Oreochromis niloticus: one gene and its partner. The protein of the gene in region 1 purifies or fractionates together with the protein of each later gene. This does not show direct contact. Links are inferred from orthologs where the notes say so. Each region holds a gene or a part of one and is shown in the gene's direction. Other genes may lie near its edges.

What was found. The genes of interacting proteins can lie anywhere in the genome.
Region 2: the proteins of kiaa0232 (region 1) and dyrk1ab purify together in Homo sapiens (affinity purification with mass spectrometry; 3 studies listed by BioGRID and IntAct, with this or other methods). This does not show direct contact. The link is inferred for Oreochromis niloticus from reciprocal best matches to the Homo sapiens genes KIAA0232 and DYRK1A.

The regions. Positions count from the first base shown.
Region 1 is NC_031967.2:4,756,649-4,764,241, reverse strand, and holds the start of kiaa0232 (uncharacterized protein KIAA0232 homolog), read left to right. Parts: upstream 1-4,569; 5' UTR 4,570-5,129; intron 5,130-5,378; exon of another isoform or gene 5,379-5,600; intron 5,601-6,900; 5' UTR 6,901-7,233; coding exon 7,234-7,470; intron 7,471-7,593.
Region 2 is NC_031979.2:25,834,210-25,842,065, reverse strand, and holds the start of dyrk1ab (dual-specificity tyrosine-(Y)-phosphorylation regulated kinase 1A, b), read left to right. Parts: upstream 1-4,812; 5' UTR 4,813-5,648; intron 5,649-5,704; exon of another isoform or gene 5,705-6,481; intron 6,482-7,447; 5' UTR 7,448-7,487; coding exon 7,488-7,517; intron 7,518-7,856. UniProt on the Homo sapiens protein: Dual-specificity kinase which possesses both serine/threonine and tyrosine kinase activities. Exhibits a substrate preference for proline at position P+1 and arginine at position P-3.

The DNA.
Region 1 (7,593 bases):
GCTAGCAACAAAACTTACTTTAGCTTATTAATATGAGCTATTTTGAATGGCATTAGGTACTATAAAATGTATAGAGTGGTTTACTGTACAACTGATAAAGTGCTACCTAATAATGACATAAACGGGGGACCTTTTCTTATATAGTTTAACTAGGGTGACCATATTTTGATTTCCAAAAAAGAGGACACTTGGCCCAGTCATGACGAATTTTAATAATACTGTTTGTTTAAAGAAAATGTTAACATATTTAAAAGATGCCTTCTCTGTGTGGTTAATGAATGGTGAAATAAAAAATGTCATATAGGCTTTTACAAGTCAACAAGTGCAAAAAAAATAACTTAAAAACCTCTGGAATTAAATAATGTTACAGAAATAATGCCTCATCTGTATAAGAAAAATTACCAGTGAGGTACCAGTGAGGTATTGTGCAATGGTTTCTGCTGTTTCATTTGGCGTTTCTAACCTCAATTAATTTTGTTTGCACGCCACCATTCTTCCAGTCAAAGTATGATTGGGAATATTTTCTCTGTTCCATGGTTACTGAAGTCTGAGAAATGCCACAGTAATGGATTTCATTAGCTTCAAGAGTGACAATAGCTTCAATCTTGGTGCAGGCACTGCTGAACTTTTTAGCTGTGTTAAAGTCTGGAAATGTTGTTTTTTTGGGGGTTTTTTTTTTTAGCAACACACTAGTGCAATCCATGGGTCTAGCTATTCTGATGCCTCGTAGTATGAAATGCCAGTGCACCTTCTGCTCCAGATACAACAGCATCCTCATTTTTCCCAGGTGTAACAAAGAACTCAGTCAACTTACTAGATGAATTTTCGCCTCGAGCAGCCTTTTTATGTTTTTCTGTGTCCATGTAAGCAACAAGATCTCCGGCACCTTTGTTAGACATACAAACGTATGTGCCAGCTCTGCACACAGTGCACTACGCCTCCCATTTATTCCGACCGGGATGGTACGAGGTAAATTTCTTTTGCAGTTTGTCTAAAAAGATGCACTTGCGCTTTGGCATCTTTTCAGCGTGCCGCTCCACGCTCTGTCCCATCTGTGAGCGGGGAACAACCACTTACAACACAGTAGTTCGGGGATGACGTTGCACATATGGGTCTTCTGTAGGAAAACCCGGACATTTTCATCCATCTCGAAAATCCCCCCGGACGCCCCAGATAGAACGTGAAAAGTGGACATGTCCGGGGAAAAGAGCACGGTTGGTCACCCTAGTTTAACAACATAGCTTACCTCAAATTACAAAATATCATGACTCAATGTTAGCATTGTTAGCAAGTTCGCTAGGTAAGCACAGATTTTTCAATTATTCTATATATTGCACTTAGTCTGAAAGATGCTCAACTGTAATTTCTTGAAACCCACTAAAGGCTTTATAAAGACTGCTATACTCTCCACACCATTTTATTTGAATATCTAAGTTTTTCACAATTAATAAAATGTTAGGCCCTCAAAAATACCACAATGACATATGTCAATCTTCTAGAATATTCTCCTTAAAATACTTGCCACTTTATGCTGTAGATGTGAAGGTTACTACAAAATAATGGTGACTAGTCGTTGTCCTGTCTCTCTCTCATCATTGTTGTGACTTGACACTATATAACTTAAATTGAAAATACACAGCGGAGTAGTGACCTTTAATGAGGCAGTCAGGTGTAGTAAATCTCTTCACTGAAGGGAGCTAATTGTTTCTAAGAACTTGAAATGTATGTATCCCATTGTGTATAGTTTCTTTGAATGTTCATTAAAGCTTTCAGTCGTGAGTTCGTTTATATTTTTTGCAGCATGAAAATAGAGAAATTTGCAGGAAACTTCAAGTAATGAGGTGATATTTTAAAACTCAAATCAGTATCAGCTTTGGTTGCTCTCATGCTTGTGACAAATAAAAGATTTGACCCACCATGTGAATGAGAACCAATTTCACTTTGAAATGGTACTGTGTGCTCTGTTGAAAAGCAAAGCTATAGCATTATGAGAAACATTTTACTGTCATAACATTGTAGTGGAATCACCCAGAGGCATCCTTCCCTACCCCCACTTCCCTAACCCCTTTTGCTGCGAGAGGATTATAGGGCATCTTTTAACTCTGCCATCTGTTCCAAATTGACTTTCAATTAACACTGGCAAATGAGAAAGCTGTCAGAGCAAAGAGCAGAGCAGATTGAGCTGTTGCTCTCTGAATGGAGGGTCCTGTACCACATCCAGTCCATATTCAATTCAATTCAATTTTATCTATACAGCGTCAAATCACAACGTCAGTTGCCTCAAGGTGCTTTATATTGTAAGGTAGACCCTACAATAATGCATACAGAGAAAAGCTCAACAATCATATGACCCCCTATGAGCAAGCACTTTCACGACAGTGGGAAGGAAAAACTCCCTTTTAACAGGGAAGAACCAGGCTCAGGGAGGGGCGGGCATCTGCTGCGACTGGTTGGGGTGAGAGAAGAGTGGACGATTTACTAAATTTACTAAAGAAATCAACTTGTAATAAGAGAAAAATGAGGCCAAAATTGATATATATTTTGTTACATTTGATTCTTGTTTCTGTAGATTAAATTTGATTTCAATTTGGATAATTTGAAATCTAATTTACATCTAATTTAGACTGCCTGATTGATTGTATTGATTAGGCTATCAGGATCTGCTAGATTTTTTTAACCCGACTCTGTGCTTTTGATGAGTATAGGGAAACTTGTGGTATTACAAAACCGTACTTTCCACAGAGCCCAGCGTTGTGTATTTTAATCCTCACAAACCGTTTGGACAGTTTATAGTTACTGCTGTGCAAATTTGGTGATGAGATACATGTGAAGATGTCAAACAGCCTTGGGCTAAACTGCTGCTGTGCTCATGGCTGAGGCTTTCATGAGATGTTATCATGTAACAGGAAAGGCAAAAAAAAAGTGAGGCAGAAAGTAAACAATGAAAAAAAAAAACCATCTTGAATTTGCAGTGTGCACAGAATGTTGATGCTGAAAACTTATAATTCTTCCTCATGGCTTTAGTTTCCAGGTTACAAAAAGTCAATATGAATTTGACTTTTTATCCCCAGTGCTCTTGCAGGCAAAACAGAAATTCATATGTGGCTGTTGTGCACAAGCTTTGCATACCTGAATTTTTACAGGACTTCCCCGATAAAGTTATATATTACAACACAGTTGTCCAACACTTTCAAATGGGATATTAACTTGCCAGCTGCCAAGTTCACAGCCTATTTGATGTTGAATTGTTCTAATTTTGGAATATTGTGGGTAATATTACGATGTATTTACAGTTAGCTCTCTCACCATTAGTGCTAACCTGATTGAAGCACACTGTGCTGTGTCTGTGTGTGTGTATCTGCACACATAGTGGTAGAAACAGCTGGTCAATAGGCTTTGGCTCGTCTCAGCACAAAGGTCATAACCCCTGGGGTCAGATAAAGAGTGCCACACTATAGATCCTTATTAGAAGGCAGTCCATAGAACAAGCACCATCAACCCCCTCTCAAAACACACAGTTTTATGCTTTATTTATGATTTTGTGATTGTATTTGCCTACAGAGAGGGGATTTTTACAAACATGAGCATGCTCTCAACTGTACTGCTTAATGTGATGACACTGTGCATTGGTTGAATACTTGATCAACATGCACAGTAGAAGAGAGAAGCACAAAAAAACCATCAAAGATGAAAAAAATAATACAGCACAAAAACTAAAGACAGTAGCTGTTTTTAACACTCAGTTTTACTTTAATACTTCATATGTTATAATTTCTCCACAGTTGGCTGATGGATTAATAACAACATATGGAAAAATATGTGGGACTGGCTGCATCACATATTTTTGACACCGCTGCCATTTCTCAACAAATGCTCTCTGCAGGTAGACGGATGATCCATAACTGCCAGTGGACTGTCAACACACTACTGCCACTGAACCAAAATTTCTCTATTTGCAGTAGTCTGGAGATGCTGATTGTTCTTGTTACTAAATCCTACACTGTAAATCTTTTTTTCTTGTTGAATTGCAGAGCTATACATAGTAATAGTGGTAAAAGTGACTAAAAGCTGCACTCAAAGTAGTAATGACAGACAGTATGAGATAAAGCTCCAGCTGTAATTAATAAAGAGCAAAAAGTCAAAATGGTCAGATTTTATTCTGACATATGTACTTGTATTTGTGAATCATACAGATAAACATGCCGAGTGTGTGTGGTCATCAGCTGCATCAGTTCTGCATCAGTTCAGACTTAGCCTGCTTTATTAAAAATATTTTTTTTTTAAAGTGTCAAATTAAGAGGATACCATTTCATTTTCTATTTGGATTTAAATGATGTCTGATTGTGGTTTCATTTATAAATGTGTAATATGTGAAATATAAGATATTGGCATTCAAATGACAAAGAGACAGCATGTCACAGTAAACAATATTATTTAATTGTACCTAAATGTCTACATGAAATTTGAATAATGTCTACAAATTCTTAGAACTCAGACAAGAAGGCGTCATTACTGAATGAAATTTGCATTTAACTTGGTCAGTATCATCCGTTTTACTATAGGACACGGTGATTTTCTGAGTTCTATCAACTCAAGTTTGTATTCCCACATAGTGAATGTTGGCGTTTCCTGTGTTAAAACAGCAATTTTTAGTGGGGGGACGCCGGAACCGAAACTACACTTCAGGGGGCGTAGGGGAGACCCCGTCAGACCCGCCTTTGTGAGTATAAACGATGACAGTACTAGATGGCCTTCTGATGCAATACCCCAGCGGAGGGATCAACCCATACGAGCAGGATCAGCAGCGGTTTGCGTTGTTGCTTGGATACGAACGCAAAGGGCGGTGCGTTTGGAGTCCGTTTCTAAATGAAACTGCCGTTACTCAGCGGACATTTTGGCTCTGCGCGTAGTCTCGTCACAGTGTGACCTTCTCTCATGTTTGAGCCCGAATGACGCCAGTTTCCTTGACGCTGTTGAAGACGCACTAGACGTGAAAACAGCGCCATTTCTGTCGGCGTCCATGATAGCTATGCGACTGGAACAGATTCCAGAGCTCGAGCTCGGAACAGCAGCGGGAGAGAAATTGCCGCTCCCCTCTCGCTGCTTCTCTTAACTTCAGCCAACGGCAGGTACGTAAACCAGCGACTCACATGGAAGTTTTCTTTTTGCATTGAAATATCCTAGTTCCTACTTGGTGTTCCATGCTTAAGCAGCTTACTTCTTTGCCTATATACGACGATATGACGCACAATTTTGAAGGGAAACGTCTGAAAGTCCTCTGTAGGCTACCGGGCAGCCGCTCCTCCTCCCCCTCGGTCACAACAACAAGCGTAGCTAACCTTATGTAATGGTTGTTTCGGTTTTAATAAAAACGCATCTCCGTTTTGTTTTGACTCTGTGCTTGCTATTTTCATGTGCCGTGTTACAGAAAGTTGCTCAAACGTTAGCGTGTTGATATATTTAATAGAGAACTGTCAGGTCTCTGTAACCGAAACAAGCTCCGTTTACCTGGTCACCACTTCAGTAGCGTTTGTCTTCAGATTAAAAAAAGAAGAAGAAAAGAACCAAATTAAACAAACGCCTCGTTATAATTATGTATGGTAGGTGGTAGTCGTATTAATATTAAGGTCCGTCCTATGACCAAAAATGAGAAGCTGTCGGCAGCTAACTTGGCTAACGGCTTATTAGCTAAAGGTCGGTGGTCAAGCTAACCTTGCTGTTTGACTGCAAAATGACTCTTATAGCATAAGTCAGCGCAACGTTAGCTGACACCACAGCTGTTGGCTAATGACAGACTAAATGGTATATTGGCATGTTGATGACATTTCTGTCTAATACTAAATATTGTTTTAGATTTCCCTGTAGTTGCTTTGCCGCACTCGGTAGCTCAACGGCGTAACGTTAATGTCAGTTAATATTTGCGCGAAGTCACAATAAACTCGCTAAAGCCGCACGCATTTGTTTTCTTATGTGGGATAATTTAAGTACTGCTGCATAAAGTTGGTCTGTTGGTGTGGTGTCGTGCAGTGAAAAGCTAACTGCCGGCCGGAGATGGTGTGCATATAAGAAACAGCTGGGTTGGAGATACTGGTCAGCCATATTTAGTAGTTTTCGAGCTAGCTAACCTTTCAGCTGCTGTCCATCTGCACTTCAATAAACATTCTTATACATAAAGGTGTCGACTGCTGGAATCACGTGATGGCAAGCTCTAAGGCTTCGTATCTCGACCTTTTTATGTCGTAACTTATAATATACCACCGCTGAATGACGAGCACTGGAGCCAATCAAATCGCCGCAGCCTCCATTTGCTCTTCACGTCGGTGTCCTAATCCACCGCTGCTATACGAGCCTTCCCCTGCTCACTGCCCGCAGTTACACTCAGCTGTTGGGTTTGTCGCTAATACAGAACTTGTTGGCGATATTAGTCATGAAACAATGCGGATGTTTTGTGATCGTGATAAGTGGTATACAAAAGTAGTCAAACAGGAAGGATTTCTTTATGCCCTGCACTACAAACATGTTTCACTTTGTCTGTCACTTAAATGGCATGCAGACCTGAATAGCATGGACATTTGAGATTTATGTGAAGGGTCACAGTCGGCTATATTTTGAGGAAATGCAGCATTGCTTAAAACAAACCTTTTTATTCCGCTGAAAGAGCTTGGGCTTACTTCTTAAGATTTTATAGTAACAAAAAATAAATAAATAAAGATTTGATTATCTGACACACATGCTGCAGTTGGACCTGTTATAACATTAAATTCTCCTTCGTTTGCTCCATAAAATGCACTATATATTCAGCTGAAAGGAGCAAAAAAGTCTTGATCCACGCTGCTTTGCTATGCTCACTTGCATTCTACACTGAAAATATATGTGAGAAACTTGTTTGCTCTGTTTCAGGTTGTGCCGGTGAAGTAAGACGTAGCCCCAAAATGGACCCCTCTGACTGAAATGCAAACACGTCTTGTGTTTTGCTCAGAAGCTGAAATATATCAGCAGCATTAAGCCATGCCTGATGAGTAACATCCCCCCTTTTTGCTCAAAGCAATAAAAAAAAAGAAAAAAGGAAAAAAAAACATCCTACATGCCTCCTCATGTAGTTTGTACTGCTGGAGTGACGGCCTCCTCTTCCAGATAGGTTAATCGCCTCTGCACCTTTCTCCACCAACCACTCAGCAGTAAATACCTGTCATAATGTTGCTCTACCCGAGAATGGCCAATACCTGAGGTCCCATGCGTCCAGTGAGCACCGATTCAGACGGTCCTGCTCCTCCTGAGAACCTCTCTTGCCCCTACCCTCTTGTGGGCCCCCTGCCTGCCTCAAAGATGTCGCTGCTCCATTCGCTGGGTCCAGTGCAAAGCTGGCTAGGCCAGGAGCTTGAGAAGTGCGGGATTGATGCCATGATCTACACCCGCTATGTTCTCAGTCTTCTCCTGCATGACAGTTATGATTATGACCTACAAGACCAGGTGAGAATTTACAACCCTAAAGAAAACTTCTTTTACCCTAAAGAAATTATTTTCATTGCTGGTGTAGGAATAAAAAGGTCTCATCAGGGGAATAAGTCAGTTTGCCAGGAGAGGTTCACAGTG
Region 2 (7,856 bases), on another chromosome or scaffold:
AACATAAAGACAGTCCAAAGATTCACAAAAATAAGATTTCTCAGTCAGCTAGTGAACAGTCCCATATGCAGCCGTCCAGATGGCATAAATGGTCATGATTAATTATCAGTATTAGATAGGTTATCAGCAGGAATGACAGTCTTACACCATCATAGTGATGGACCCAAATGGTTTCTTCTATATTAATGGCAGACAGAAGCCCAAGGCTGCTGGGGCCATTTCCAGCACGTCTTCAGTACAAATTGGTCCTGGCTTCACAAAATGTACATGTGCTAGAACACGTATTAAAACCAGGGGTTCCTTTACCTGCTGCATGTTTGTGAGTTCACGAATGGTTGATATTGTGAGCTAAATGAAAATCGACCCACGCTGATTTTGGGGGGAATCATTTGGGTTTAGTGCATATTTTGGAGAATTATTTAAGTGAAAACATTGATCATAAACACTGATGACTGATCATAATTAATTTTCAGTCTATAATTATATAAACTACGTGGGTTCAGTTATTGCACATACTATCAGTACTCACTTCTTCCTGCTTGTCTCTTTAACAGAACATGAGACAAAAGAGGAACAGGAGTTTAATCACCTGCTTAAGCGCCCCTGGGGCAAACCAGCGTGACAGGTTCAGGCACTTCAGTCAAACTAATTCTATTATCTGTAAATATTTAAAGGTTTTATATGATTTTAATATCTATATGAATCCATGTTTGTGTAAATATTTATTCTTTGTATCAAATTTTGTTTGGTGTTATGTATTCCAGATACCTGAAACAGGTAGAGTATGAAGGGAAAGCAGTTGTTTCCTGAGGGATTAGTGTGCTTGTGAAGTCCTGCTCTTTAACAATAAAAGCCACAAGTTGGTGCTTGAATTTTATTTCAGCCCCATGCCCCTTTGTTTAAAGCTTGACGCTACCATCAGTTGAACTGATCATTCAGAATGGAGACTGTTTTGTATTTCGTCACTCAACTGGATGTATGTCTCCTAATATGGAATCCACACAGCCAGCAGATGTCATAAGTTTACAACTTCCCTTTCATTATAATGAATTGAACCTCTTGCGACCTCTTAAAGTAAAATTCACTGCTGCGTGCAGTACATGTGTCAAGATAAATATTGTTTTAGGGACATTTTTCAGACAATAGGTTTCGCTGTTACATGAGTGTTTGACCTGAAAATGAACAAATGAGCAAGTAAAACTTTACAGTTTCCCAGATGCTAGTTAAACATCCAGTATAAAATTAGATATGCGAGCTTTATTACAAAATTGTGCAAACTCCTTGCCTCAAACTCCTTGTCTCTTGTTAAGCGCTTAACATGAGTTAATTATATTAACTTTGTTTATTTTGTGGTTGCAGTACTTAAGAACACTTCTCATTATCACTGCAGACATCTCAGTCATGGTGGCCTTTTGCTCAAACTGTTGTTGAAAACACAGACACTGGAAAGCATGTTACACATGCATGACTCGTGATAATGACATGAGTCTTACAGATACAGATAAATAAGTAAACTTTCAAACTTCTGCGGTAAAAATGAATTTAAATAATCTAATTTAAATTAGTTTAATCTGCTTTATTTCTATAGCCTAAACATATCACAAAACAGGCGTAACAATGAGAAATGTCAGTTACAGTTAGAAAAGGTCACTGTTTGCACTTACAGTAAGTAATTAGCCCATTCCACTACACAGTCTGTTTTTGTCCCGTTGTTTTGCTGTTAAGATATCTTCAATCAATATTTCTGTCTTTATAAAGTCTTTATTTCATGATAGTAAGGAATAAACTCCCAGACCATTCCGGTCAACACAAAACACTAGCATGAGATTTCCTGGCTCAACTTGTTTCTCCAGCTCTGAGATGTCTGAATCTTTAAGCGTTTGTCTGTTATATGTAGTCATTATTCAGACAAGTCCTGCAAGTGTTACCTGCTCAAGACCTGACTGACGTACATCATCATATGTAAATGTTCAACAAAAGCTTTCTAAATACTCTTTGTTTTAAACTCTTTTTATCATACATGAGCCACAACTTACTGTGCTAGTTTCAATTGATGTGGCTTAATATTCTCCCAGGACACGTATATGTTTGGCTTAATAAAAAAGTAAACAAAAAAACTAAGTTCACCGCATGATACAAAAACTTCTATAACTTTAACTTGAAGTAACTGTTTTCTGTATGACTTTATCAGTCTCTCACATCATTGTGGGGGAATTTTTATTGCACTCTTCTTTACAGTGTTTCTTCATTCATTCATACACAGCTCTCTTAAAGTCTTTCCACTTGGACTGGGCCACTGCAGCACCTTAATTCTTATATTTTTCAGCCATTGTGTTTTAGACCTGCTGCTGTGCTCGGGAATATTCTCCTGTCTAACCCAGTTTTAGCCAAGCTTTATCGGTCACATTTGGTGCTAGAACACTTTGGTACACAGAGAAGTTCATGGCTGACTCAATCCTGCAAACCTAGTCCAAACCATCACGCCTCCGCCACCGTGCTCGACAGTTGTTCTTTATGCTCATGTTGTGTTCGGTTTTCCAAGAACTGTGTATTATGGCCAAACATCAAACAAACAACAACAAAGCCGCAGTTTCTCTGAGAATTGCACAGTCTGAGCTTGGGGTGAATTTGCTAGAACATCCACCGCTGGGAAGATTGGCAACTGCCTTGAATGATGGATTTCAAGTTATTCATGAATGGCCTTATAATCTTTTCAGACTGCTGGTCCATACTAGTTATTTCTCTGAGATCGTTGCTGCTGTCTTTCCTCCTTGGTAACGTGTTAACATATATGATATTGTGACTCTTTTCCATTTAAATAATTGAAAAACTGTAAAATGCATACATCGCTTCCACCGTTGTTATAATATAATAATAAAAATAACTAATTTTCCTTTAATGAAATGATGCATGCATGACAATATTTTAAATAAAAAATAATAATGTCATTTTTTAATGCCTTATTGCAATTACATGGTTATGAACACTCTCTCCAGCCCCCAGTTTGAGAATAAGAGAAAAAACAACATTAATAACATTGCTATAGTGAATTTGTCTGGCCACAATAATCAGGCAGTGAAGTGAAAAAAATATTAAGTTTCACCATTCATTGTGAATCTTTAACAGGAACAGAGAGAAAAAATCGAATGCAGTCAACCACAGTAGTTCTCAAACTGAGTTCCACTGTACATAGAGCTGCTGCTGGTGGAGTGTGGACAACCATTGTTAAATCCTTAATTAACTGTGATCAACCACATTTTGGTTTTGGAAAGCTGAGTTCAGTTTCACCAGCCACACCCAGGCCTGATTACTGCCAGTGAATCAGCCTGTTTCACTTAAACAGAACTTCTTTGACAAAGAGAAGCAGACTGAAAGATCTCAACACATCATGCCGCAATCTAAAGAAACAGCTGAGAAACAAAGAAGTCATTGGCGTCTATCGGTCTGGGAAGGGTTACAAAGCCATTTCTAAGGCTCTAGGACTCCAGTGAACCATCATCCACAAATGTAGAAAATGTGAAACAGTGATGAACATTTCCACGAGTGGCTGGCCTACCAAAATTACTCTAAGAGCACATCAACGATTCATCCAAGAAATCACAAAAACTCAGAACAACATCTAACAAACTTCAGGCCTCACTTGCTTCAGTTAAGGTTGGAGTGCATAATTCAACAGTAAGGAAGAGACTGGGCAAAAATGGCATCCACAGGAGAGTTCCAAGAAAACCACTGCTAACCAAAAAGAACACAAAAGCTCATCTCACATTTGCCAAAAAACATCCTAATGATCCCCAAGACGTCTGGGAAAAAATATTTAGTTTACTGACAAGACAAAAGCTGAACTTTTTGGAAGGTTTGATTTCTATTTCATCTGGTATAAAACTAGCAGAGGCTTTCATAAAAAAGACACTCATACGAAGAGTTAAACATGGTGGTAGTATTGTGATGGGCTGGGGCTGTTATGCTCCTTCAGGCCCTGGACGACTTGCCCTAATTGATAGAACCATGAATTCTGCTCTCTTGCAGAAAATCCATGAGGAGAATGTCCAGCAATCAGGTTGTGCCATGAAGCTCAAGGGCACTTAGGTTACGCAGCTGGACAATGATTTGAAATATACAAAATAACAAAATTAGGTTTTTAGAGTGACAGGTTGAAAGTTCAAGACTAAATTTGATTGAAATTTGCATGTCCTTAAAAAGTTGCTCATGCTTGAAAAAAGTCCATTGAATTAAAACAATATTAATTTTATTTTTTTTATCTGAAAGATGTGAATGCATGCAAAGAAAAGAAAAAAGAAAAAAAAACTGGAAGGAGGCAAACAGATTTAATTAATAATTAATAAAGATTAATAAAGTTTTTAAGTTTCTACCTATTAACTTACCAATTTTGTGAATTAAGAAATTTTAGCAACTCCCAAAAACTTTTGCAGTGTATGCTTTATTAAACAGTTTCATCATTTCATCATTACTGTGTCTAATAATGACTATTTTTAACAAAGATAAATATTAAAGAAATAAAACGTTTACACGTTATTAACCTTTTGTTATTGTTATGCCCGTGTGTTGGCTGATATAGAATCTCTTTGTGGTTATATTGCTATACGAAGCTGTATCTTTAGACAGTTACTTTAACCGTCTACAGATACAGCTAAATATTGAATGTCTTCTGGTTGATAGCAACAGGCCAAACGCGGTGGAAAAAGACAGACAGGGACACCACGGAGTTATGTGTGTCCTGTAACTCGGGCCAGTTAGATCTTATTCGTCATTGGTACATCCGGGTACCTTTTTTTTTTTTTGATTGACAGTTGCCATGGCAACAAGCTAGAGCATCGCCATTTTGTCAGGAGGGTTTTTTTCCCCAGCTCAGTCTTTTCAAATGTTCTCCCTTCCCGCCGGAATAATGCTGTCAGTGGATATATGTCTGACGTTTTTGGATATCGAAATGCGTCTAGTGGATCGGATTAAGAAGATCAAGAGGCCGACGTTTTAACACAGTTGAAATAATTAGGCGGCGCCGCACTAACTCAGTTGTCCGTGTCTCTGGTCCACCGGGCCGGTTCACTGCGCAGGTTTGGACCGCGCGCCATTTTGTGAAAATTGACACAAAATTCCTAACCAAAATTACCAGAGGACACGGATTCCGTTTCACGTTTAAAATACTCCGGATTTAACCGTGTTCTCGTGTTTGTCGAAGTGGCCGGCGCCAAATTTGCGAAGACGGCGTAAAAATCTGAATTTGGCAGAACATTTATTTAGCGGTGGCTAGATTCGTTAGCTTGAGGCTAGCCACGGAAGCTACAGCTAGCCAATGTTAGCTGCGTTCATTTTGTCAACTAGCTAGCCAGCTCGCTAAGGTTAGCTGGTGAGTTATGCGTGCTAGTTAACGTTAGCATGTTGCTTGTCATCAGCTGATAGTAACGTTAGTCAAGAGTTTCTTCGACAGGCGATGTTTTTCAATAGTGCTTGGGACATGAAGAGCGCAATGAACCTGACTGGCGAATTATTTTAGCCGGTCAGAGGACGGGGGAATTGGATTTAACGTTAACATTACTCGCTAACCGTGCAGGGAGGGGAGAATCTCAAACTGGATAAGTTTCCTCATCATACAGGTTATTGGACTTTAAATGAAGATCGTGCCATCAGAGGTGAGCAAAAGCCTATGCGAAAGCGTTCAGGTTAACGCTTTCGTGGATGTATATGTTGTGTGTAACGTCAATGGTTAACAATGATGGACGCGATCGTGAAGTTGAGAAAGGTAGCTTGTGGTATGGCGGCTAGCTAACGTTTTGTGGCGGCGCCGACTCCGCTGGAGCCACCTATAACGTTTGCTTTCAGTCAGTAGGTCAACTGATTATTAATGTCAGACAGAAACAGCATCCGAACTGGTTTTTGGACTAACCCCAGAGAGAGAGGGGTGCAGCGGATTGTGTGGGTTTGGGCGAAGAGTCATGCTGGCACAGCGTTAACGTTAAAGCTAGCCCTGCGATATTACACAGTGTCATTGTAGGATTGAAGAAAATGTTGCTCTGCTGGCTCATATTTCCGTTGTGAATTACTGTCTAACTATATTACTTGCAGAGGTGTAGTTTTGTTTTTTACAGCAATGGAGTGCGGAAGCTAACCAGGCTAACGCCTCGTAGCTAAATCGGCTAACTCGGCTAATGGTTAACGCTGACTTGTTGACGAACCAGCTGAATGGGCCCCGCAACCCGCTGGCTGCACACACAGCGTCACTAGCTAACGTTAACACTGGATTGGTGAGAGATATGCTTGCTTGTCCCGCAGTTTTCAGGGTAACGTTAACGACGACAGCGTTAGCTAGTTAGACTGCTAACGGTAACGTGAGCCTGAATACGTTTGTCATTTATGCGAGGAATTGGGAGTCACACACACGAACGATATGTAGCAAGACTGGACGCAAATTAACACTGAATATGCTTCCTAAATTCCAACCATGACGAGCGCTACCCCATCATCTGTAAGTACAGAGCTACCCGGGGACGGTCTTTATACATGAGCGTTAGGCTTTTAATTGTTTTGGGTTGGTTTCGTTTGATTCAGCTTTGGAATGGATCTAATCAGTTGGGCGTGAGAAGATGACACGCAGACTTGTTATAGAGGTCTTTAGCCATCACTTATGATATGATACGGCTACTAATAGCAAGCTAGCTGTCGTTATATTTACACCTAAATAGGCCCGTTGATGCCGTAATGACTAGAGCCAGGAAAGGAACTGTTCATATGTCAGTACTGAAAATTAACAAGAATCAGACATTTAGGGGGAGACTAAAGAGCCACAAGTGCGCTTGCAAAATGGCTTTGTGTTAAAATAGAGCTGATATTTTCCCTGTGGGGTTTGTCTTTTTGATTAAAAGACAATTTTACCTCTTAGTTTTGTTAGTATAATGCCTGCCATTGTGTTTGTGAATTTCTCTCAAACCAAACTTTTTCAGTTCTTTGTCAAAACAGTAATGGCAGTAAGGCCAGTTGGATTCACAGTAGCAGATGGCTATTTTAATAAAATATATTGTGTATTTAATTTCACCCCATTTAGATTATATTTTTAAAATCGGTATGAACATGCTGAGAGGAGGTCAAGTGCTCTTCTAGATCCACAACAATGCAAATCCTGTTTTAGTTAATGTCTCTGATAGAACTATTTAGAAGTTTCACAAGAGCTATATGCAAGTATTTCAAATATATAATTTCCTGGGTTTTAACTATCTTTACAACAAAAGCACAAGTAGCTTAAAATTTTCAAATTTGAGGTCTGTTTGTAAACTCCCTCCATTAACACATCTACCCCAAGTGAGCTTCTTAAAGTTTTGGGGTGTCTTCTGCTCTCTAGCAGTTCTCTGTCCCTTCTTATGAAAAGTTTAACCCCTATGAAGTTAAGTCCCACCAAAGATGCACAATGATGATATTCTGTTTTTATTCTTTGTAGTGGGTTGTGGTTTGCTGCTGGACTCTCCTCCCAGGATGATATGAAATTTTACAGGAGAAGATGCATCCAGGTTAGCTGCTATATATTAAGCCTTAACCCTTTGGTGAGGAAGTAGTGCTCTTCTAAGAGCTTCTCTTTCAGTTTTGTTGTTGTTTTAAATTCAGACTCACAAATTTGTAGGACTCTCTTTAGGGGGTAAAAAAGTCAAGTAAAGATGAATAATTAAGAATTATCAGTATAGTATTTACCATTTAATTCATTGCAACTTATTTGATTGCAGAGCTCAAAGTAATTAAAATTAGTTTAGTTTTTGTTTTTTTGTCTGAACTGAACAAGCAGTAAAACAAAGTAGTCATGACAAATTGAAGTGCTTTAAATTTAAAATATGTTGTAAAATGTGTCTATTTAT